Linked DNA regions of Anolis sagrei. Each later gene encodes a partner of the first gene's protein in a complex. Links are inferred from orthologs where the notes say so. Each region holds a gene or a part of one and is shown on either strand. Other genes may lie near its edges. The genes, in order: IKBKG, IKBKB and CHUK.

Region 1 (7,513 bases):
AAATATATGAGTTGTTATAGGTTTTTTCGGGCTACATGGCCATCTTCTAGAGGCATTCTCTCCTGACATTTCGCCTGCATCTATGGCAAGCATCCTCAGAGGTAGTGAGGTCTGGACCACTCTAACAACCACCATGTCAGACTACACAGAGAAGCCATTGAAATGTGGGCAATTTCAACAGAAAAAAGAAAACCATGAAAATGAACAAAACCTAGCTACCAGTATTAAAAAACTCTAAAATTACAACAGCAAAACAACAGAGAGGAAACAATCTGGGACATCTAATCACCTCTCAACAAAAGATTGCCCCAGGCACTGCCAGGCCATCAAATGCTATTTTTATATGCTTTGATGTTTTATATCTAATGTTATGTTGTTTATTTTATTGCAATTTGTATTGTTATATTGTATTCTTGTTCGGGCTTGGCCCCATGTAAGCTGCTCCGAATCGCCTTTCGGGAGATGGTGGCGGGGTACAAATAAAGATGATGATGATGATGATTATTATTATTATTATAAACAAGCACCTTGGTATCCCTACGGATGTCCCGGTCCTTAAACACTCTCTGCTTCATTCGGAGAAATGCTGCATTCACAGAGCTCAGGCGGTGTTGTATTTCAGTGTCAATGTTGACTTTTGTGGAGAGGTGGCTGCCATGGTAGTGGAAATAGTCAACATTTTCTAATGTTACACCATTAAGTTGTATTTCTGGCATTGGAGAGGGATTGGCTAATGACTGCTGGAACAGCACTTTGGTTTCCTCGATGTTCAATGACAGGCCGAGAAGTGCGGGGAATACCCTTGCTTTAAGTATGCGGATCTTCGTTGCCAGTGTGATGTCTCTACTCTTCACTGTTTTATTGAGATTGGTCATTGCTCTCCTCCCAAGAAGTAAGTGTCTTCTGATTTCCTGGCTGCAGACTGCGTCTGAAGTAATCGTTAGGCCTAGAAATACAAAATTTGTCACTGCCTCCATGTTTTCTTTCTCTTTTTGTTGTTCATTCGTTCAGTCGTCTCCGACTCTTTGTGACCTCATGGACCAGCCCACGCCAGAGCTCCCTGTTGGCCGTCACCACCCCCAGCTCCTTTAAGGTCAGTCCCGTCACTTCAAGGATGCCATCCATCCATCTTGCCCTTGGTCGGCCCCTCTTCCTTTTGCCTTCCACTTTCCCCAGCATAATTGTCTTCTCTAGGCTTTGCTGTCTCCTCATGATGTGGCCAAAGTACTTCAGCTTTGTCTCTAGTATCCTTCCCTCCAGTGAGCAGTCGGGTTTTATTTCCTGGAGGATGGACTGGTTGGATCTTCTTGCAGTCCAAGGCACTCTCAGAACTTTCCTCCAACACCACAGCTCAAAAGCATCTATCTTCCTTCGCTCAGCCTTCCCTAAGGTCCAGCTCTCACATCCGTAGATTACTACAGGGAATACCATGGCTTTGACTAGGCGGATCTTTGTTGCCAGTGTGATGTCTCTACTCTTTACTATTTTATTGAGACTCGACATTGCTCTCCTCCCAAGAAGCATCTTCTGATTTCCTGGCCACAGTCTGCGTCTGCAGTAATCTTTGCACCTAGAAATACAAAGTCTGTCACGGCCTCCACATTTTCTCCCTCTATTTCCCAGTTGTCAATCATTCTTGTTGCCATAATCTTGGTTTTTTTGATGTTTAGCTGCAACACGGCTTTTGCGCTTTCTTCTTTCACCTTGATTAGAAGGCTCCTCAGCTCCTCCTCGCTTTCGGCCATCAGAGTGGTGTCATCTGCATATCTGAGGTTGTTAATGTTTCTTCCAGCAATTTTCACCCCAGCTTTGCATTCATCCAGCCCCACACATCCTTGCATGATGTGTTCTGCATACAAGTTAAAAAGGTTGGGTGAGAATATGCAGCCTTGCCGTACGCCTTTCCCAATCTTGAACCAGTCTGTTGTTCCGTGGTCAGTTCTGACTGTTGCTCCTTGGTCCTTGTACAGATTCCTCAGGAGAGAGACAAGGTGGCTTGGTATGCCCATCCCACCAAGAACTTGCCACAATTTATTATGATCCACACAGTCAAAGGCTTTAGAATAGTCAATGAAGTAGAAATAGATGTTTTTCTGAAACTCCCTGCCTTTCTCCATTATCCAGCGGATATTGGCAATCTGGTCTCTCCTTCCTCTGCCTTTTCTAAACCCAGCTTGAACATCTGGCAACTCTCGCTCCATGTATTGCTGGAGTCTTCCTTGCAGGATCTTGAGCATTACCTTACTGGCATGAGAAATAAGGGCCACTGTACGGAAGTTGGAGCAGTCTTTCGCATTTCCCTTTTTTGGTATGGGGATATAAGTTGATTTTTTCCAGTCTGATGGCCATTCTTGTGTTTTCCATATTTGCTGGCATATGGCATGCATCACCTTGACAGCATCATCTTTCAAGATTTTAAACAGTTCAGCTGGGATCCCGTCGTCGTCTCCTGCTGCCTTGTTGTTAGCAATGCTTCTTAAGGCCCATTCAACCTCACTCCTCAGGATATCTGGTTCTAATTCATTCACCACACCGTCAAAACTATCCTCGATATTATTATCCTTCCTATACAGATCTTCTGTATAGTCTCGCCACCTTCTCTTGATCTCTTCAGCTTCTGTTAGGTCCCTGCCATCTTTGTTTCTTATCATACCAATTTTTGCCTGAAATTTACCTCCAATGTTTCTAATTTTCTGGAAGAGGCCAGTTAATCGGTCTGCATAATTTAGTTGTTAGTGCTAATGTATTGTGTTTCATGTTGAATGGACGAACCCAGAGGGTGCTCACCAATGCTTCCTCTTCATCCTGGAAAGAAGTGACGAGCGGAGTGCCGCAGGGTTCTGTCCTGGGCCCGGTCCTGTTCAACATCTTTATTAATGACTTAGATGAAGGGTTAGAAGGCAGGATCATCAAGTTTGCAGACGACACCAAATTGGGAGGGATAGCCAATACTCCAGAGGACAGGAGCAGGATTCAAAACGATCTTGACAGATTAGAGAGATGGGCCAAAACTAACAAAATGAAGTTCAACAGTGACAAATGCAAGATACTCCACTTTGGCAGGAAAAACGAAATGCAAAGATACAGAATGGGGGATGCCTGGCTCGAGAGTAGTACGTGTGAAAAAGATCTTGGAGTCCTCGTGGACAACAAGTTAAACATGAGCCAACAATGTGATGTGGCGGCAAAAAAAGCCAATGGGATTTTGGCCTGCATCAATAGGAGTCTAGTGTCTAGATCTAGGGAAGTAATGCTACCCCTCTATTCTGTTTTGGTTAGACCACATCTGGAATATTGTGTCCAGTTGTGGGCACCACAATTCAAGAGAGATATTGACAAGCTGGAATGTGTCCAGAGGAGAGCAACTAAAATGATAAAAGGTCTAGAGAACAAGCCCTATGAGGAGCGGCTTAAGGAGCTGGGCATGTTTAGCCTGAAGAAGAGAAGGCTGAGAGGAGATATGATAGACATGTATAAATACGTGAGAAGAAGCCACAGGGAGGAGGGAGCAAGCTTGATTTCTGCTTCCCTGGAGACTAGGACGCAATGGAGCAATGGCTTCAAACTACAAGAGAGGAGATTCCATCTGAACATGAGGAAGAACTTCCTGACTGTGAGAGCCGTTCAGCAGTGGAACTCTCTGCCCCGGAGTGTGGTAGAGGCTCCTTCTTTGGAAGCTTTTAAACAGAGGCTGGATGGCCATCTGTCAGGGGTGATTTGAATTTAATATTCCTGCTTCTTGGCAGAATGGGGTTGGACTGGATGGCCCATGAGGTCTCTTCCAACTTTTTGATTCTATGATTCTATGTCCACACATTCCTTCTTTATTTCCTTCTTGGGGTGATTCCCTCTTCAATCCCGCCATGAAAGGCACTAAGGGGCTCCCCCTCCCAGCTCTAAGACCAGGCCCATTTTCTCGCCTTCGCTTTCCCTCTCTGAGTCTGGCCGTCTGCTGACGTCACTTCCGCCTCGGTCTTGCTCCTTTCGATTCCCGGAGTTGCTTTCTCTTTCTGGACGTCACTTCCGGATCAGACCAAAACAAGGTTCCAGGAAGGAGGAAGCGGGAGGAGACGGCGGCATTGGGCAGGCTGGCGTCGAAAGGAAAGGTGCGACTCTCTGTTTTTCGTAAAACTCAGGCGGTGAAAGGAGGGAATAGGAGCTGGGAAGGGGGTGTCAAAGACTGGGGACTGAGCCTGTGACTCCCGCCCGAAGGAGGTGTGCGGACAGGAGCCCTTCCTTCCTGCCCTAAAAGTGAAACTGAGGTGCCTGGGGTCCAAAAACTATAATATACATGGCATTTGGGAGCTCAAGAGGAGTGCAAAGTGGGCTAAGCCTGGCTGAGGTCTTCCTTTTCTGGGAGCAAGTCCAGAAATCCCTTCTTTGGCAGATGATAAGTTTGTTTGTAGAGACTACAACTCCCAGAATCCCCCCTTCGGTAGGGCAGATGGCTGTTCCCTCGGGGGATTCTGGGAGTTGTATCCCAAATTGTCCAGGCTCTCCCCCTAACACGACTCTGGGTGGAGAATCAATGGGAGTCTGACACTACTCCTGGGAGATGTAGTTTCATAGAGTCTTAGCCAACATTGGCTAAAACATATTATCAAACAGGCCTCATAAATAACACATTAAGCAGCTAAAATCTGTGTAAAAATATGTTGTTGTTGTTCATTCGTTCAGTCGTCTCCGACTCTTCGTGACCTCATGGACCATCCCACGCCAGAGCTCCCTGTCGGCCGTCACCACCCCCAGCTCCCTCAAGGTCAGTCCAGTCACTTCAAGGATGCCATCCATCCATCTTGCCCTTGGTCGGCCCCTCTTCCTTTTGCCTTCCACTTTCCCCAGCATAATTGTCTTCTCTAGGCTTTCCTGTCTCCTCATGATGTGGCCAAAGTACTTCAACTTTGTCTCTAGTATCTTTCCCTCCAGTGTAAAAATATAAAAGTATAAAAATGTCTCTCTCTTATAAGTTAAGGCAATTGCTGTCCTCATCATCATCATCTATATAAATAAAAATGTAATGTTCATTTGTGAAATTAACATAACTCAAAAACCACTGGATGAATTGACATCAAATTTGGACACAATACACGTATCGGGCCAGCCAGTGACCATCACTCATAAAACGCTAAAAAACACAGCAGAAGAGACTTAAAAAGCCAAAAAATTAAAAAAAATACATTACAACGCATGCACAAAACCACATATATCTACGCAAACACACATATATACATGCACATATAGACACACATTCACATACAAAGCACACATACACAGACTGAGCCAGGGGATGGCTAGTACAAGATAAAATCAATAAACTGTGCGGTTTACAACAGCACAGAAACATACAACATAAACTAGACCATTGCAATTAACCCAAATAGGTTACATAGTCTTTCCTTGTAGGATGTTAAAATTATCATTCAAATAAATACTCAGTGGTTCTCAACCTGTGGGTTCCCAGATGTTTTGGCCTTCAACTCCCAGAAATCCTAACAGCTGGTAAACTGACTGGAATTTCTGGGAATTGTAGGCCAAAACACCTGGGGTTGAGAACCACTACTCTAAAACTAAACAGAGGCTGGATGGCCATCTGTCAGGGGTGATTTGAATGTGATTTTCCTGCTTCTTGACGTGGTTGGACTGGATGGCCCACGAGGTCTCTTCCAACACAATTATTCTATGATTCTATGACTGTCTGTAGTTACATTTAGTACTTGTTGATAGGCTCCTCCTTATAATCCTTTGTATATATTACATTTTTGTTGTTAAAGAATATAGAGTGGTATCCATGAACCTCATTATGTGCCCACTCAAAAAAAATGCAATAACACTGTCATAAATTAGGCTGAGATGGTAGGTGGGTCATGATCACCCAGGAAGCTTTGTGGCTGGACTTATATATTATATATCTAGGTCTCTCTTGCATGTTACACGAATGGGTAGCTGTGGTCCACCAAATGCTGTAAGACTGCAGCTCCCATGAGACATAACTACTAGGTAGGGATGTTGAGAGTTGTAGTCCTTCAGCATCTGAAGAGTCACAAGCTATCTGTCCCACAATGTATTGTTGTTCATTTGTTCAGTTGTTTCCGACTCTTCGTGACCTCATGGACCACGCTAGAGCTCCCTGTCAGCCGTCACCACCCCCAGCTTCTTCAAGGTCAATCCAGTCACTTCAAGGATCCCATCCATCCATCTTGCCCTTGGTCGGCCCCTCTTCCTGTTTCCTTCCATTTCCCCCAGCATAATTGTCTTCTCTAAGCTTTCCTGTCTTCTCATGATATGAACAGAGTACTTCATCTTTGCCTCTACTGTCCTTCCCTCCAATGAGCAGTCAGGCTTTATTTTCTGAAGTATGGACTAGTTGGATCTTCTCGCGGTCCAAGGCACTCTCAGAACTTTCCTCCAGCACCACAGTTCAAAAGCATCTATCTTCCTTCGCTCAGACTTCCCTATGGTCCAGCTCTCACATCCGTAGGTGACTACATAGAATACCATTCCTTTAACAATTTATACAATTTATTCGCTACACTAAATCCAAGTGTCAGTGCTAGAAATCTATCCTTAGGCATCTTATGGGACACAAGAATTCAGTTTCTTTGTTTTCTCTTTATAATTGGCCATAGAAGGCTAGCTATCTCTGTGAATATGTATTTCTTACATATTTCAGCCCATGACCAGGAGGTTCATATTCAGTACTCCGCCATGTAAAACATACAAGAAGAAATATCTGTGATCAAGGGATAAAGTTTCAAACTTAAAATTTTCATAGACATGCTATTAAGTAATGCATCAGCCATTTTTGCTTGTATAGAGAAGGATTTAGATGTATGTGCTACTATCTACTATCTGATAGCCCAGTAAAAGTATTTTATAACCACAGAGAGAAATAAGGCAAAATCCTGCTGTTCCTCTCCTCTTATTCAAGAGCAATGGTCGATTGATGTTTATGTGACTGAATGAGCTAGGCTTTGCTCTGTGTGCATGTCCATCCCATTCTTCATCATGCTTTTTATTTCCAGGACCTGGATGAATGAGTGTAGGCCACGGTGGCTGGAGCTGTGACATGGTACAGCCAGGCGGGTGCCCCCACAGCGATTGCATCATGATGGGGGATGACTCTTCTCTTGGCAGAGATGGCCCCCTTCACCTGCCAGCTGAGCTGGCTGGACATGAAGCGGTGCAGCATATGCTGGCTGAGAACAGAGACCTCAAAGGTGAGGACACAATAGATGGGAGTTTTGGGACTATTCAGGTGGACTGATATAATGTTCACCAGTTGGTTTAGGCTTAATCCCAGATTCCCTCTGTGACTGTTTCTATGACTTGTGTATTATATTCTCCTGTTTTGAGCTTAAGAACCTGGCTAGAAATTATTCTATTATTTTGGTTTTAGCATAAATGCAGCTATATAAGATACATCTAAGAAGTGAGTTGTTGAAGTGGACTAAACCATATATATGTAAATAATGAGAGTGACTCCAAACCAAGGTAGTGGAAGTGGATTCAAAGA
Region 2 (7,423 bases), on another chromosome or scaffold:
CACCGTTTCATGATCTGGATTTCCAAACACCACCGTTCTCGGTTGCGGAGGCTGAGCTCCTGGCGACACTGTTTGATTGCAATCTGCTCCCCCGTTTCCTGTACGAAAATAAGATGCCAACAATGTGATGAACGCAGCACACTGATTCTCAAAACTGCCTCCCAAAACCTGACAAATAAATGCTTTTGGAGCCTTCAGGGAGTTGTTCTTGCAAGGAGATTTTGGAAAGGGCAAAAACGATATTCTGAAAAGGACAAGTAGCAGGGGATTATGAGAGGAACGTCGACAAGTCCATTTTAAATCGAGAATTTCATTATGCATTTAGTCTTTTTAATGTGTATCTTGTATGTGTTTTGATAGTGTTGTTGTGTGTGTTTTGATAGTGTTTACCGACTGTTAGGAATTGTGGGAGTTGTGGGAGCTTCGGGAGACAGTGGTCGGGCATCCGGACAACATTGGCAGTCCAGTGGAGTTGATGGCGGAGGACCATCGCTTCAGTGCTGGTGGTCTTTGCTTCTTCCAGCACACTGACGTTTGTCCGCTTGTCTTCCCAAGATATTTGCAGGATTTTCCAGAGGCAGCGCTGATGGAATCGTTCCAGGAGTTGCATGTGATGTCTGTAGACAGTCCACGTTTCGCAGGCATATACCAGGGTTGGGAGGACAATAGCTCTATAAACAAGCACCTTGGTATCCCTATGGATGTCCCGGTCCTCAAACACTGTCTGCTTCATTCAGAAAAATGCTGCACTCGCAGAGCTCAGGTGGTGTTGGTCAACATTTTCTAATGTTACACCATTAAGCTGTATCTCTGGCATTGGAGAGGGGTTGGCAGGAAACTGCTGGAACAGTACTTTGGTTTTTTTGATGTTCAGTGACAGGCCGAGCTTCGTGTATGCTTCTGCGAAGGTGTTTAGAGTGGCTTGTAGATCTTCTTCTGAATGTGCACAGACGACATTGTCACAAGCATACTGGAGTTCTGTAACAGATGTTGTTGTAACCTTGGTTTTGGCTTTCAGTCTGCTGAGGTTAAACAGCTTGCCATCTGTCTGATTATAGATTATTTCCACTCCGGTGGGAAGCTTCCTATCAACAAGATGAAGTATAGCGATGAAGATGGAGAATAAAGTTGGGACAATAACACATCCCTGTTTGACGCCTGATTCCACCTTAAATGGGTCACTTTGGAAGCCGTTGCTATCCAAGACTGTTGCCATCATGTCATCATGGAGGAGCCACAGGATGTTCACAAATAAAAGAATTACATAAATTCGAAACCATTACTGGATGAGGATGAACAAGCTGAAGATCAATCCCGACAAGACAGAGGTCCTCCTGGTCGATCATAAACCGGATTGGGGTATAGGGTGGCAACCTGTGCTAGACGGGGTTACACTCCCCCTGAAGTCACAGGTCCGCAGTTTGGGTGTCCTCTTGGATTCATCACTTACGCTTGAGGCTCAGGCGTCGGCGGTGTCCGGGAGGGCTTTTGCACAATTGAGACTTGTGCGCCAACTGAGACTGTACCTCGTAAAGGCTGATCTGGCTGGGGTGGTCCATGCCTTGGTCACCTCTAGATTGGACTACTGTAATGCACTCTACGTGGGACTGCCCTTGAAAATGGCTCGGAAATTTCAACTGGTCCAACGGGCGGCGGCCAGGCTGTTAACTGTCGCTCCTTACAGAAAGAGGTTAACCCTCCTGTTTAAAGAGCTCCATTGGTTACCGTTCATCTTCCGGTCCCAATTTCAGGTGCAGGTGCTCACCTACAAAGCCCTAAACGGTTTGGGACCCGCCTACCTGCGTGACCGCATCTCCATATATGAACCCACATGTTCCCTTCGATCATCTGGAGAGGCCCTGCTCACGATCCCACCTGCGTCTCAAGCGCGTTTGGTGGGGACGAGGGACGGGGCCTTCTCTGTGGTGGCCCCCCGACTCTGGAACTCTCTCCCCAAGAACATCAGACAAGCCCCAACTTTGACAATCTTTAGGAAGAGCCTGAAGACCTGGCTGTTCCAGTGTGCCTTTCCAGAATAGGAAACTCCCGGCATCATGTCCCAAACGCACTTTGTTAGAGACCAGGATTGTCTGCACATTGCACCTACCTCCAAAAATCGTTACATACCTCCTGTCAAGTTCAGCACTTTTAAATTTTGTCCATTACATTTGGCCCGGCCTTCTAGATTTTAAATGCATCATGGTGTCATTGTTTTTAGTGTTTTATTGTCTTTGCTTGATGTTTTATTGTTTGCTTATGAGTTTTATTGTTATATTTGTATGTTGTTGTTTGTTGCAGCCTTGGCCTTTATAAGCCGCATCGAGTCCTTCGGGAGATTTTGCAGGGTATAAATATAGTTAACAATTAATAATAATAATAATAATTTTCCATGTATTGTCGAAGGCTTTCATGGCCGGAATCACTGGGTTGCTGTAGGTTTTTCCGGGCTATATGGCCATGTTCTGGAGGCAATTTTTCTCCTGACGTTTCGCCTGCATCTATGGCAAGCATCCTCAGAGGTAAAGAGGTCTGTTGGAAGTAGGAAAAACTAGGTTTATATATCTGTGGAATGACCAGGGTGTGACAAAGGACTTTTGTTTGCTGGGGCTAGCTGTGGATGTTTCAGCTGATCACCTTGATTTGCATTTGAAAATTGCATAATTTTCCAGATCACCAGTCTGGGCCACAGCAACGCATGGCAGGGGACAGCTAGTGCTTCCTATGTCCCATCTGCATGGGGGTATTGGGGTAACTTTGGCCTTACAGAGGGATGTGGACTCCAGCTCCCAGAAGACTCAGCCAGCATTCTGGGAGTTGAAGTCTCAGCCGCAAGCCACGCCCCTCTGGCCCTCCCTCCCTCCCTCCCTGACTCACTTTGTGCTGCCAGCGGATGACGTTGCCGAAGCCCCCGGTGCCGAGCCGTTCGCGCATCTCCCAAGCCCCGCAGGAGGCCGTGGGCTGGAGCGGTGGAGGAGGCGGAGGCGCCATCGCAAACCAGCCCGGCTTCTCCTCACGGGGACACCGAATACAACCCCCCTTCCTCCTCCTGCTTCTGTTTCCTCCCTCAGCAGCAGGACTAGGCCGCGCCGCTCTCCTTCCGCGTCTTCAGGAAAAGGGAGGCGGGCCCCGAGGGAGAAAAAGACTAGGCCGCGCCTTAAAGGGACCGCAGCATTAAAAAAAAAGAAAAACAAATAGATCAGTGGTTATTATTATTATTATTATTATTATTATTATTATTATTAAACTTTGTTTGTACCCCGCTAGCATCTCCCGAAGGATTCGATGCGGCTTACACAGGCCAAGGCCTCAACACACAACACAACAATACAATCTAAGCAAATCAAACAATTAAAAACAGAATAAAGCAAAATAAACAACAGGCACAATACACTAAACACAATAAAACTGGGCCGGGCCAGAGTAATGGGTACAAGATTAAAAGTGCTGATGTGACAGGAGATGTATATAGGGTGACCCCCCCCACCACCACCACAACATGAGGAACTGTATTGAGGGGTCGCAGGATTAGGAAAGTTGAGAACCATTGTTGTTGTTCATTTGTTCAGTCGTCTCCGACTCTTCGTGACCTCATGGGCCAGCCCACGCCAGAGCTCCCTGTCGGCCGTCACCACCCCCAGCTCCTTCAAGGTCAGTCCAGTCACTTCAAGGATGCCATCCATCCATCTTGCCCTTGGTCGGTCCCTCTTCCTTTTGCCTTCCACTTTCCCCAGCATAATTGTCTTCTCCAGGCTTTGCTGTCTCCTAATGATGTGGCCAAAGTACTTCAGCTTTGTCTCTAGTATCCTTCCCTCCAGTGAGCAGTCGGGCTTTATTTCCTGGAGGATGGACTGGTTGGATCTTCTCGCAGTCCAAGGCACTCTCAGAACTTTCCTCCAACACCACAGCTCAAAAGCATCGATCTTCCTTCGCTCAGCCTTCCCTAAGGTCCAGCTCTCACATCCATAGATTACTACAGGGAATACCATGGCTTTGACTAGGCGGATCTTTGTTGCCAGTCTGATGTCTCTACTCTTTACTATAACATGAGGAAACAACCAGGCACATCTTAACACCTCTCAACAAAAGATTTTCCCAGGCTCAGGCAGGCCTTCAAATGCTAATGAAGGTGGCCAGTTGAAACATTCACACCTAGCTCCAGCAGAGAAGAGCTCTTTGCCCCACCCCAGCCATTCCACAGATATATAAACCCATTGTCCTATTTCCAACAGACCTCACTACCTCTGAGGATGCTTGCCATAGATGCAGGCGAAACGTCAGGAGAGAATGCCTCTGGAACATGGCCCTATAGCCCGAAAAAACCCACAAGAACCTAGTGATTCCAGCCATGAAAGCCTTCGACAACCATAACATTATTTTCATTGCTACTTCATACATTTTGTAATTTTGCTATTGTTATTAATCACAATGTGAAAACATATCTGATATGCAGTGTGTGTTTTCATTCATTAACTGGAACAAAGTTGGCAAAAATATCCACATTTGAATACTGGTGGGGTTGGATGGGGGAATGATTTTGTCATTTGGGAGTTGTAGTTGCTGGGATTTATAGTTCACCTACAATCAAAGAGCATTCTGAACTCCACCAGAGATGGAATTGAATTGATGCGGCTTACAAAGGCCAAGGCCTCAAAACACAACACAACAATACAACACCTAAAGCAAATTAAAAACAATAAAAGCAATATTAAACAACAAGCAATAAACAATACATCAAGACACTATAAAACTGGGCCGGGCCAGAGTAATGGGTACAGAATTAAAAGTGCTGATGTGACAGGTGATATGTAAGGATTATAGGGTAAGTGCAGTGTGCGGTGTGCAGCAATCTTAGTTCTAATAAAGTGCTTCTGGGACTTGTTATTGGAGATTCCTAATCTGGAAAGGCACATCGGAACAGCCAGGTCTTCAAGTTCTTTCTGAAGACTGCCAATGTAAGGGCCTGTCTAAGATCTTTGGGGAGGGTGTTCCAGAGTCGAGGGGCCACCACAGAAAAGGCCCTGTCTCGCGTCCCCCACCAAACGCACCTGCGACGCTGGCGGAATCATGAGCAGGGCCTCTCCAGATGACCGAAGTGAGTGCGTGAGTTCATAAATGGAGATACGGTCACGTAGGTAGGATGGTCCCAAACCATTTAGGGCTTTGTAGGTAAGCACCTGCACCTTAAATTGGGCTCTGAAAATAAATGGCAGGCAGTGGAGCTCCTTGAACAAGCATTGGTGAGCACCCTCTGGGTTCATCCATTTAACCAATTACAGATCCACCTCACCGTAGTGTTGCCTAGCCCACATTGGAATAGTTTGTTTGCCAGAAGGTCATGGGGAACCTTGTCGAAGGCCTTACTGAAATCCAGGTATGCTTCATCCACGGCATTCCCCGCATCTACCCAGCTTGTAACTCTATCAAAAAAAGAGATCCGGTTAGTCTGGCATGACTTGTTTTTGATAAATCCATGTTGACTTAATAAACCATTAAGCTGTATTTCTGGCATTGCAGAGGGATTGGCTGGTGCTTGCTGGAAGAGTACTTTGGTTTTCTCAATGTTCAGTGAAAACAGTACCATATAATCCTGTTCAAAGCTGATCATCTGGATTCAGAGACGAGTATAGGGCAGTGTAGTTTGGGCCTGTGATATGATGTAGCCACAGGAGGGCAGCATCTGCTCTATTTATAGATAAAATTTATGCGTAGACAGAAGTCTAAGATTTGTGTTTTGCATCCTTGGCATGAGGCAGAAAGTATTACTACTGTGATTTCTTTTTCTCATCCTCTTCACTACACAAACACAAAAACATCCTAAGGAAAGCATGCCCTCATACATTTATCCTCTGCTCTGGATTTTCCGTTGCAGAACTACTCCAATGTCCAGATGGGATCACATCTTCCTGCAACCTTACCCACTCCTTCGCACTTTGGTAAAATTTCCCCTTTTCCGTGCTTAATAATGTGGCCATTAGGTCAAGCTTTGCTAGACAGGCAAAGAGGCTTCAATGGGATGCTTTTAATGCACAAACCATGTCAACAATCAATTCAACTTTGTGTTTCAAAAGGCATCTTCTCTGTCACAATATCAGGAGTTTCCTTTTTGCATCTAAAAAAGGTGTTTCCATTTGGAGGATTGGTAAGGAGACTGGATGGCCATAAAATTATTTATGAATTGTAATGTAAATATCTGCTACACAGGATATGTTTTCATTCACTGGTCCAAATTTGGCACAAATACCTGGAACGCCCAAATTTGAATCCTGGTGGGGTTTGGGGGGAATTGATTTTGTCATTTGGAAGTTGTAGTTGTTGGGATTTATCGTTAATCTACAATCAGAGGGCATTCTGAACTCCACCAAAGATGGAATGGAACCAAACTTGGCACACAGAACTCCCACAACCAACAGAAAATACTGGAAGGGTTTGGTGGGCATTTACCTTGCGCTTTGGAGTTGTAGTTCACCTACATCCAGACAGCATTGTGGACCCAAACAATGATAGACCTGGACCATGCTTCGCATGGATACTCAATATGCCCAAATATGAACACTGGTGGGGTTTGGGGGAAATAGACCTTGACTTTTGGGAGTTGTAGTTGCTGGGATTTATAGTTCACTTACAATCAAAGAGCTTTCTGAACCCCACCAACGATAGAAATGGGCCAAACCTTTCACACAGTACCCCCATGCCTTGAAGGGACTCACTGGCGCAAGCCTCCCTCCAGCATCACATGCTCTTCCTTGCTCGCACATGCGCACCACGCTGCCATGTGCTGGGTATGCCTGCTCTCCCCTCCCCTGCTTGAAAATTTAAAAACAACCCTCCCCTTGGTTTTGAGGCCAGCTGAGAGGCCAGTCACTCACAGCAGAGGAGGGCTTTGGTGGGAGGATTCCCCATCTGTTTTCAAAAAAGAACAGAAGGACAGGCAGAGAGATCTTCAGCCTTCTCTGCCAAAGGGGTTCCTAAGACCCTCAGAAATACATGTTTTCTAATGATCTTTGGTGAACCCTCTAAAAACTCCCTCGTGACCCCCCCCCCCCTCCCGCGATCTCAACTCCCAGGTTGAGAAACTGATCTAATGGATTAAATGCTGTTTAGTACTCTGTATCTGCTGCTTATTTTCTAGATTTTGCAAATAATAATAATAATAATAATAATAATAATAATAATAATAGAGCAGAAGATCCGCCTAGTCAAAGCCATGGTATTCCCTGTAGTCACCTACGGATGTGAGAGCTGGACCTTAGGGAAGGCTGAGCGAAGGAAGATCGATGCTTTTGAACTGTGGTGCTGGAGGAAGGTTCTGAGAGTGCCTTGGACTGCGAGAAGATCCAACCAGTCCATCCTCCAGGAAATAAAGCCCGACTGCTCACTGGAGGGAAAGATACTAGAGACAAAGTTGAAGTACTTTGGCCACATC
Region 3 (7,611 bases), on another chromosome or scaffold:
AGAGGAAGGAAAAAAGGGAGGAGGAAGGAAAGAGGTACAGAAGGAAGGAGGAGAGAAGGAAAGAAAAAAGGGAAGCGAGGAAAGACGCAGCAAAGGAAAAAGAGAAAGAAGGAGAGAAAGACGCAGGGAAGAAAAGAAATAAGGAGAAGGAAGGATGAAAGCAAACAGCTAAGGAAGGAAGTAACCAGGTAGAGAAGGAAGAAAGGAAAGAAGAAAACGGAATGAAGGAAGGAGTGAAAGAAGCAGAGAAAGAGGGAGAGAAGGCTGGCCACAGCAACGCGTGGCAGGAAAAGCTAGTAGTCTATGAAGAAAAACATAAACTACATTTGGGGACTCTGATCACTCACACACATATTTCTATATCTTTGAAGGAAAAATACACATGTATAATGAACATTCCTTCAGCTTTTCATCAGTATGTACCAAATTGCATCTATCTCTGGCCACAGTTCTGGATTCTGCATTTCATTATTATAATATCTGAGCTCATATATCAATCCAGGAGTGTTTCCAGATTGTTAATATATAATATATGAAGCAGAATTTCTATATGTGAAAATTTTAGTGAAAATGATTAACTTGGTTAAAATAATGATGAAACATTAACACTTGTCTGTGACTTTTGCAGTTGAAAGATCCAAACATGCTTCCATTACTTAAACATCGTGAAACTGTGAGAGAACGAAGCAAGATTCTGAAGATCAGAGAGCTCTTAACAAACTGCCAGAAAATACTGAAAACACTGCACACTGTTCCACCTGAAGAAATTGATGACCTGTGTCAAGTCGTAACAGAACTGCGTGGCCTAGCCCACCAGCGACATAAAAAGACGGTTAGATTTAAACAAAAAAAATGAGGCACAAATCTGTTGAATAAAGAAAAGAAAAAGTCTCCTTTGGTGTGCAGCCTTTCAAGTAAACAAACTTGATGACTGCTCTGTATTCCACTGGGTCCATTATCAAACCTCACATCATTTCAGCACCTGTCAAATCAAGATTTTTCTCAGTTCCGAGTTGTAAATTGGCACGTAACCTATAGAGACTGATATCATTACACATGTGCAGTTTCAGCATCCTGTGATAAATAGAAGTGGGTCAGAGGAAATCTTTAATGCATGCTCATATCAGAATAATTAATATTCATTTATTTATTTATTATTTATTTCGAGGTTTTATATACCGACCCTCTCACCTTCAAAGAGGGATTCGGACCGGTTCACAACATGTGTTAACATACAAAGAATATACAATAACAACACAATGCCACTTCATTACACGGTTAAAATATCAGCACTATACATGTTAAAACATTATCATCACAGTTAAAAGAGCCAAATCATCCGACACCATCACAATACCATTCATCATCCTCCTTTCATGTGGGCAAAGAATTAAATCAGTTGTCAAATGCCGCGTTCCACAACCAGGTCTTTGTTAGTTTCCTAAACGTCATGAGGGAGGGGGCAGTTCTGATCTCTAATGGCAGGGAGTTCCAGAGTCGAGGGGCCACCATCGAGAAGGCCCTGTCCCTCGTCCCCACCAGCCGTGCCTGTGAAGGTGGAGGGACTGAGAGCAGGGCCCCTCCAGATGATCTTAGTGGTCTTGATGGTTCGTAGGGGAGAATACATTTGGAGAGTATTCAGTATGAATATATGTCCCATGGGTGGTGGATGCATGTAGAGAGGTATAAAAATATATGCTGAATTGTTTAACTGATTTATTGTATTTATTTATTGTGTGAGAGAGACTGGATGCTAAAATGCTTTTTAAAATCTATGGGCCCCTCTTCTTTCCTTGTTCTTTCCCCCCAAGGTGGAATACAAGATCGGTAGCACACTATAAAAAAGTTGGCACCTAATAACGTTCATGTATATGATTATCTGCGTATTTGTTCTAGTAGTATTCTCTCCTGATTTTTCACCTGCATCTGTGGCAGGCATTCTCCAAAGGTTTGCTCAAAGGTCTGTGGAAATGAGGCATGTGGGGTGTACATATATCTGTGTAATGTCCAGGGTGGGAGAAAGAACTCTTGTCGTTTGAGCCAAGTATGAATGTTGCAATTGTCCACCTTGATTAGCATCGAAACGCCTTGCAGCTGTAATCTTGATTAGCAATTGGGTAGCCTTGCAGCTGAAAAGCCTGGCTATTGTTGCCTGGGAGCATTCTTTGTTTGGGAGGTGTTAACTGGCACTTGATTGTTGGCTGGCTGAAATTCCCGTTTCTGAGTGTTGTTCTTTATTTGCTGACTTGATTCTGGTATTTAGGAATACCAGTAGCCAGATTTTGTTCATTTTTATGTTTTTCTCCTTTCAGTTGAAATTGTCCACATACTTGTGGATTTCAATGGCTTCTCTGTATAGTCTGATTATGGTGGTTGTCAGAGTGGTCCAACATTTCTGTGTTTTCACATAATATTCTGTGCCCAGCTTGGTTTATCATGTGTTCTGCTATGATTGATTTCTCTTACTGAAGTAGTCTGCAGTGCCTTTCATGTTCCTTGATTCGTGTTTGGGCAATGCTGCATTTGGTGGTCCCTCTGTAGACATGTCCACAGCTGCATGGTATCCGGTAGACTCCTGCAGAGGTGAGAGGATCCCTTTTGTCCTTTACTGAACATAGCTTTTGTTGGATTTTCTTGGAAGGGCCTATAGATTGATTGGAAGTTATGTTTCTTCATTAATTTCCCTATGCAGTCAGTGGTTCCCTTGATGTATGGTAAGAATATTTTTATATTTTTCCTAGGTGGACTTTATTCTCAAGCTGGTGCCCCCCCCCCCCCAGAACTTTTCCCCCAGGGAGATTAGAGTAACACCCACCCTGTCCACCTTCCGAAAATACCCGAAAACTTTGATGTTGCAATGTGCCTTTGACTAACCGGTTCATCTATTGACTAGGCCCCTCTAGCTCTAACTTATTGTCCGGCTTTGTAGCACTTTATTACTCGCCCCTACAGCTCTGTTGCATTAGCCCTTGCTAGTGCCCTCCTAGATCTGAACACGCCCATTCTTCTCAGCTACTGCTTGATGGTTATTGATGTTCTTATGTTTTCATGATGTTTGTTGTTAGGTTTCATTGTTTTAATTATTTACATTTATTTATCATATCAGAAGTGAACCGAGGGTACAGTTGTAATGTATTTAAAAACACAAACAAAATTTAATTATTGAAATTCAATGTATTTTAATTGTGCTATATCTTAACTTCTGTTTTTGCTGGGCCTGGTCCCCATGGAAGCCACCTAGAATCCCTTTGGGGAGATGGTGGCGGGATATAAGAATAAAATTATTATTATTATTATTATTATTTGCTAATCAAGGTATCCAATTGCAACAGTCACACTTGCTTCAAAAAAACAACAAGTGTTCTTTCTCCCACCCTGGACATTCCTCAGCAGAGGCGGCCCTAGGTAATTTTCAACGGTAAGCAAACAGTATTTTGGTGCCCCCCCCCCCCACCAACCAATCATTGATATATATTTTCTGTTCGTCATGGGAGTTCTGTGTGCCATATATGGTTCAATTCCATCATTGGTGGAGTTCAGAATGCTCTTTAATTTTAGGTGAACTATACATCCCAGTAACTTGCATTTGTCAAGGTCTATTTTCCCCAAGAGCGCCTCAAGAGTGCCCCTGGGCAAAATCAACTATACTGCAAATGCTTACTTTGCGTGATGGGTTGAGCCGCCCCTGTTCCTCAGATATATAAAGCTCACTTGCCTAGTTTCCAACAGACCTCACAACTGGGTTGTCGTAGGTTATTTCGGGCTATATGGCCATGTTCTTGAAGCATTCTCTCCTGACGTTTCGCTTGCATCTATGGCAAGCATCCTCAGAGGTTGTGAGGTCGTAACCTCTGAGGATGCTTGCCATAGATGCAGGCGAAACGTCAGGAGAGAGTGCTTCTAGAACATAGCTATATAGCTCGAAATAACCTACAACAACCCAGTGACTCTAGACATGAAAGCCTTCGACAATACACAGACCTCACAGGATGCCTGCTACAGATGTGGGCGAAGAGTCAGGAGACAGTGCTGCTGGAACATGGCCAGACAGCCTGGAAAACTCGCAGCAACCTAATGCTTCCGGCCTATCTTGTTCCTGTCTTAAGGGTTGCTTGTATATTCTCCAGCCATTCCCACCTGCCTTCCAGAATCAAGAAACTCAATACCGATTGCGCAAGGGCTGTCTACCTTCTCTCCCTCTCTCTGCGCGCATCTCCCGGAAGGGGAAGAGCCCACACCCTGAGGCCACTTCCGCTCCCGTCCCAGGTCTCGCGAGAGCTGGCTGGCTGGCTGCCCTGGGGATCCGCGGCTGGCCCAGGCAGGCGGGCGGGGGGGCGGATGGAGGGTCTGCCGGCGGGGCCGGGGCGCGGGGGCCCTCCGGGAATGGCGGCCTGCGAGCCCTGGGAGGTGCGGGAGCGGCTCGGCACCGGCGGCTTCGGCAACGTCTCCCTCTACCAGCACCGGGTGGGTCGCCGGGGTCGCAAACTTGGCGGGGGTTTCGCCCTTGGGTTGTGGTCATTGGAGGACGGGGCTCCTCAGCCTTTGACTGACTTGAGGGCCCTGCTCCTGGCTTGTGCCATGAGTGCTGGGTTTGGTGGGGAAGGAGGGAGGAAAAAGGAAAGAAAGGACACATTCCAGCTTGACAATATCTCTCTTCTGGGCACCACAATTGAAGGGAGATGTTGACAAGCTGGAATATGTTGAGAATAGGGCGACTAAAATGATTAAGGGTCTGGAGAACAAGCCCTATGAGGAGCGGCTGAAAGAGCTGAGCATGTCTAGCCTGAAGGCCGAGAGGAGACATTATAGCCATGTATAAAGGTGTGAGAGGAAGTCATAGGGAGGAGGGAGCAAGCGAGACTAGGATGCGGAACAATGGCTTCAAACTACAAGAAAGGAAATTCCACCTGAGCACTAGGAAGAACTTCCTGACTGTGAGAGCTGTTCACCAGTGGAACTCTCTGCCCCGCAGTGTGGTGGAGACCTCCTTTGGAAGCTTTTAAACAGAGGCTGGATGGCCATCTGTTGGGGGTGCTTTGAATGCAGTTTTCCTGCTTCTTGGCAGGGGGTTGGACTGGATGGCCCATGAGGTCTCTTCCAACTCTATGATTCTAAGGGAAGGCGGTGCAGCGATGGCAAAGGGGAAGCAGAAGACGGTAAATGCTTCTTCTCTGGGTTGATGAGGCCGTGGACAGGGATGTCACCCTGGCAGAGAGTGAGTACTTCATCACACTAGAGAACGAATCCACTTTAAATCCAGTTTCTGCCTCCTGCAGAATTCTGGGGTTTGTGGTTCAGGGAGGCTGTTAAAGGCAGTGATTTTTGTGGTGATCTGTTTTAATTCTTTCTTCTGCAAGACAGGATTTAGGTACAAAGTTAGCAATCAAGTCTTGTCGTCTGGAACTAAGTGTGAAAAACAAAGATCGGTGGTGCCATGAAATCCAGATCATGAAGAAGTAAGTTCTCACTTTGTTTTTCCAACACATTTTTGTTTATGTCTATGTGGCTGGCATGCCCTTTTATTAGTCCCAACTACATGCTGATGGTGGTGGTGATAATGCTGATAATGAGACTCATTATCAGCCATTCAGTCAGTTGTTGAATGATGAGCCGATGCATTGGTAAATCGAATTAATTCAGTGAATCAACTAATCAGCACAAGTGGGGGGGGGGGGGCTATTTAGACAGATACCAATTGTACAAGTTTGATTTCATTTAGAAATGTGTTAACCAAAATGGAACAATATTATACAATTTTGAAAAATACTTCTATATATACACCTTACTTCTATATACACCATCTGAATAAATTACAATATACATATTTTAAAATAAATTTTCTTAAGATGTTTCAAGAACATTGCCCCCCAAATATATATATATATATTATACGCACACATATACACACACACACTAAAATATAATAAAGGGGAAATGTAAGAGCTGTTTTTAAAATTGCTTCCAGCACAATGAAGTGCATTTTATTTTTTTCTTGAAGTTTTTAATCAAACTGTTTTCTGTGTTAGTAGAAAACCAATATCGCTGGAGGTGAAAACAAAAGTCTGTTTAGGTATACAGTAGATCTCCGTATTTGTTGCTTCAAAAAGTATACATGTATGTACTGAAATGGAATAATATATGAGGTATATATAATATATAACTTGTATATATAATATATACAAGTTCATAAATACTTTTAAGAACCATTACTCAACTCATAACTTCTGTCATAAGAATTGGCTGGTACAGAAACATTGGGTGAAAAAAGTGATAGTTACGTAAAGGGTGCACTTTACACCATCACTCTCACCTTGGATTCACATTGTACAGGTGCACTTGTGCCTGCATGATTTGCAGAGAGGATGTGGCGAAGGCAGAAGACTGTTTGCACTGTTTTTGGCACAACTATAAGAATGCCTTGTCATGTAAATGCATGTCACGCTGTTGACATACTGTTGTTCACGGCCAGCCCCATGAGTGACCTCTAGTCACCCTTTTATGAATTCAAGTCTTACAGATTGATAGTGTTTCATGATCTACACAATCAGAAATTTTGCTATAATTTGGAAAGCAGATGCTGAAATTCTTTGGTGTATGCCATTATCTAACATGTTTACAATGTGATCCCTGATGCCTCTGTTCAGGGGAGCCTTTTCTAGGCAAGAACATTCCAGAAAATCTTCACATTTATCTGTGGTCCACATATCTGACACTCAGTCCTCTTTACCAACAGGCCAGAGGCTCCATCATGTGATGAGACAGCATATTCAACTATTCTAACCATCAGGAAATTCCTCCATATTTAGGTGGAATTTCAATTCCCCTCCAATTTCAATCCATTGCTCTATGCCGTAGTCTCTAGAGCAGTTGAAAACGAGCTTGATCTCTCCCAGTATGGACATCCTTTCAAAAATGCTAACGTTCTGATCTTGTCCTCTGAAGTATTAGGTATCCATCCTAATTTGGTTGGAAGACAAACTTTGCCAAGAACATCAGGTCCAACAAGTTTCTCACTTGCCTTGCAGACAGCGTCATGGTCCAAAAGGTGGAAGAAGCAACAAGGGAATCAGTTATTTTAGATTTGATCCTAACCAACAGTGATGACAGGGTAAATGGGATAGAGATAGTGGATTCCTTAAGTGGGAGTAACCATGTTCTTCTAGAGTTTGTTATACAGCAGAAAGGGGGAATGAAGCATGGTTAACATGCATTCTAGACTTTAAGAAAGCTGACTTCAGTAAACTGTAGAAGAAAACCAAGTGCAAGTCCATGGTTAGGAATACTGAAAGAGAACGGCGTTCCCCCCCAGCCACCAATGGCTCGTCTTTGCTTTGCACCACAGTTTTTAAGGGAAAACCCGATCTATACCAGAACCTTGTTTTTCCAAGTGGTCTTGTCATCAGTTTCCATTCCAGGTCCTGATAGAATTCAGCTTTCCCCTTTGTCAACCAAATTTGTATTCTTGGCTAGAGCTTGATAGATTTGTATTTTCCTCAGATATCTTTTAAATCTAATTATAACATCTCTCATCAAGCTCATAGTGGGTGGTGATCTAAATATTCTTCCACATTTTCTCCATGTCACCTTGTGATATCAAGATAACTGAACATA

What was found.
Region 2: the proteins of IKBKG (region 1) and IKBKB are in contact, whole or in part, in a crystal structure (PDB 3BRV), measured with the Homo sapiens proteins. The link is inferred for Anolis sagrei from reciprocal best matches to the Homo sapiens genes IKBKG and IKBKB. Residues at the interface, in NP_001093327.1 of Homo sapiens: Arg62, Ile65, Arg66, Asn69, Leu72, Arg73, Arg75, Cys76, Leu79, Phe82, Gln83, Gln86, Lys90, Leu93, Met94, Phe97, Ala100, Arg101, Val104; in NP_001547.1 of Homo sapiens: Ser705, Leu708, Glu711, Ala712, Leu715, Cys716, Leu718, Leu719, Ala722, Ile723, Asp725, Thr726, Glu729, Gln730, Gln732, Phe734, Leu737, Asp738, Trp739, Trp741.
Region 3: IKBKG (region 1) and CHUK share a complex: the UniProt entries of both Homo sapiens proteins name them as parts of the I-kappa-B-kinase (IKK) core complex. The link is inferred for Anolis sagrei from reciprocal best matches to the Homo sapiens genes IKBKG and CHUK.

The regions. Positions count from the first base shown.
Region 1 is NC_090022.1:174,520,376-174,527,888, reverse strand, and holds the start of IKBKG (NF-kappa-B essential modulator), read left to right. Parts: upstream 1-4,001; 5' UTR 4,002-4,106; intron 4,107-7,022; 5' UTR 7,023-7,033; coding exon 7,034-7,217; intron 7,218-7,513. UniProt on the Homo sapiens protein: Regulatory subunit of the IKK core complex which phosphorylates inhibitors of NF-kappa-B thus leading to the dissociation of the inhibitor/NF-kappa-B complex and ultimately the degradation of the inhibitor.
Region 2 is NC_090027.1:24,636,298-24,643,720, forward strand, and holds the start of IKBKB (inhibitor of nuclear factor kappa-B kinase subunit beta), read right to left. Parts: upstream 3,128-7,423; 5' UTR 2,989-3,127; coding exon 2,875-2,988; intron 99-2,874; coding exon 4-98; intron 1-3.
Region 3 is NC_090023.1:141,577,555-141,585,165, forward strand, and holds the start of CHUK (inhibitor of nuclear factor kappa-B kinase subunit alpha), read left to right. Parts: upstream 1-4,260; 5' UTR 4,261-4,338; coding exon 4,339-4,464; intron 4,465-5,361; coding exon 5,362-5,456; intron 5,457-7,611. Other genes in the region: ERICH6B (glutamate-rich protein 6B), read left to right, coding at 629-856.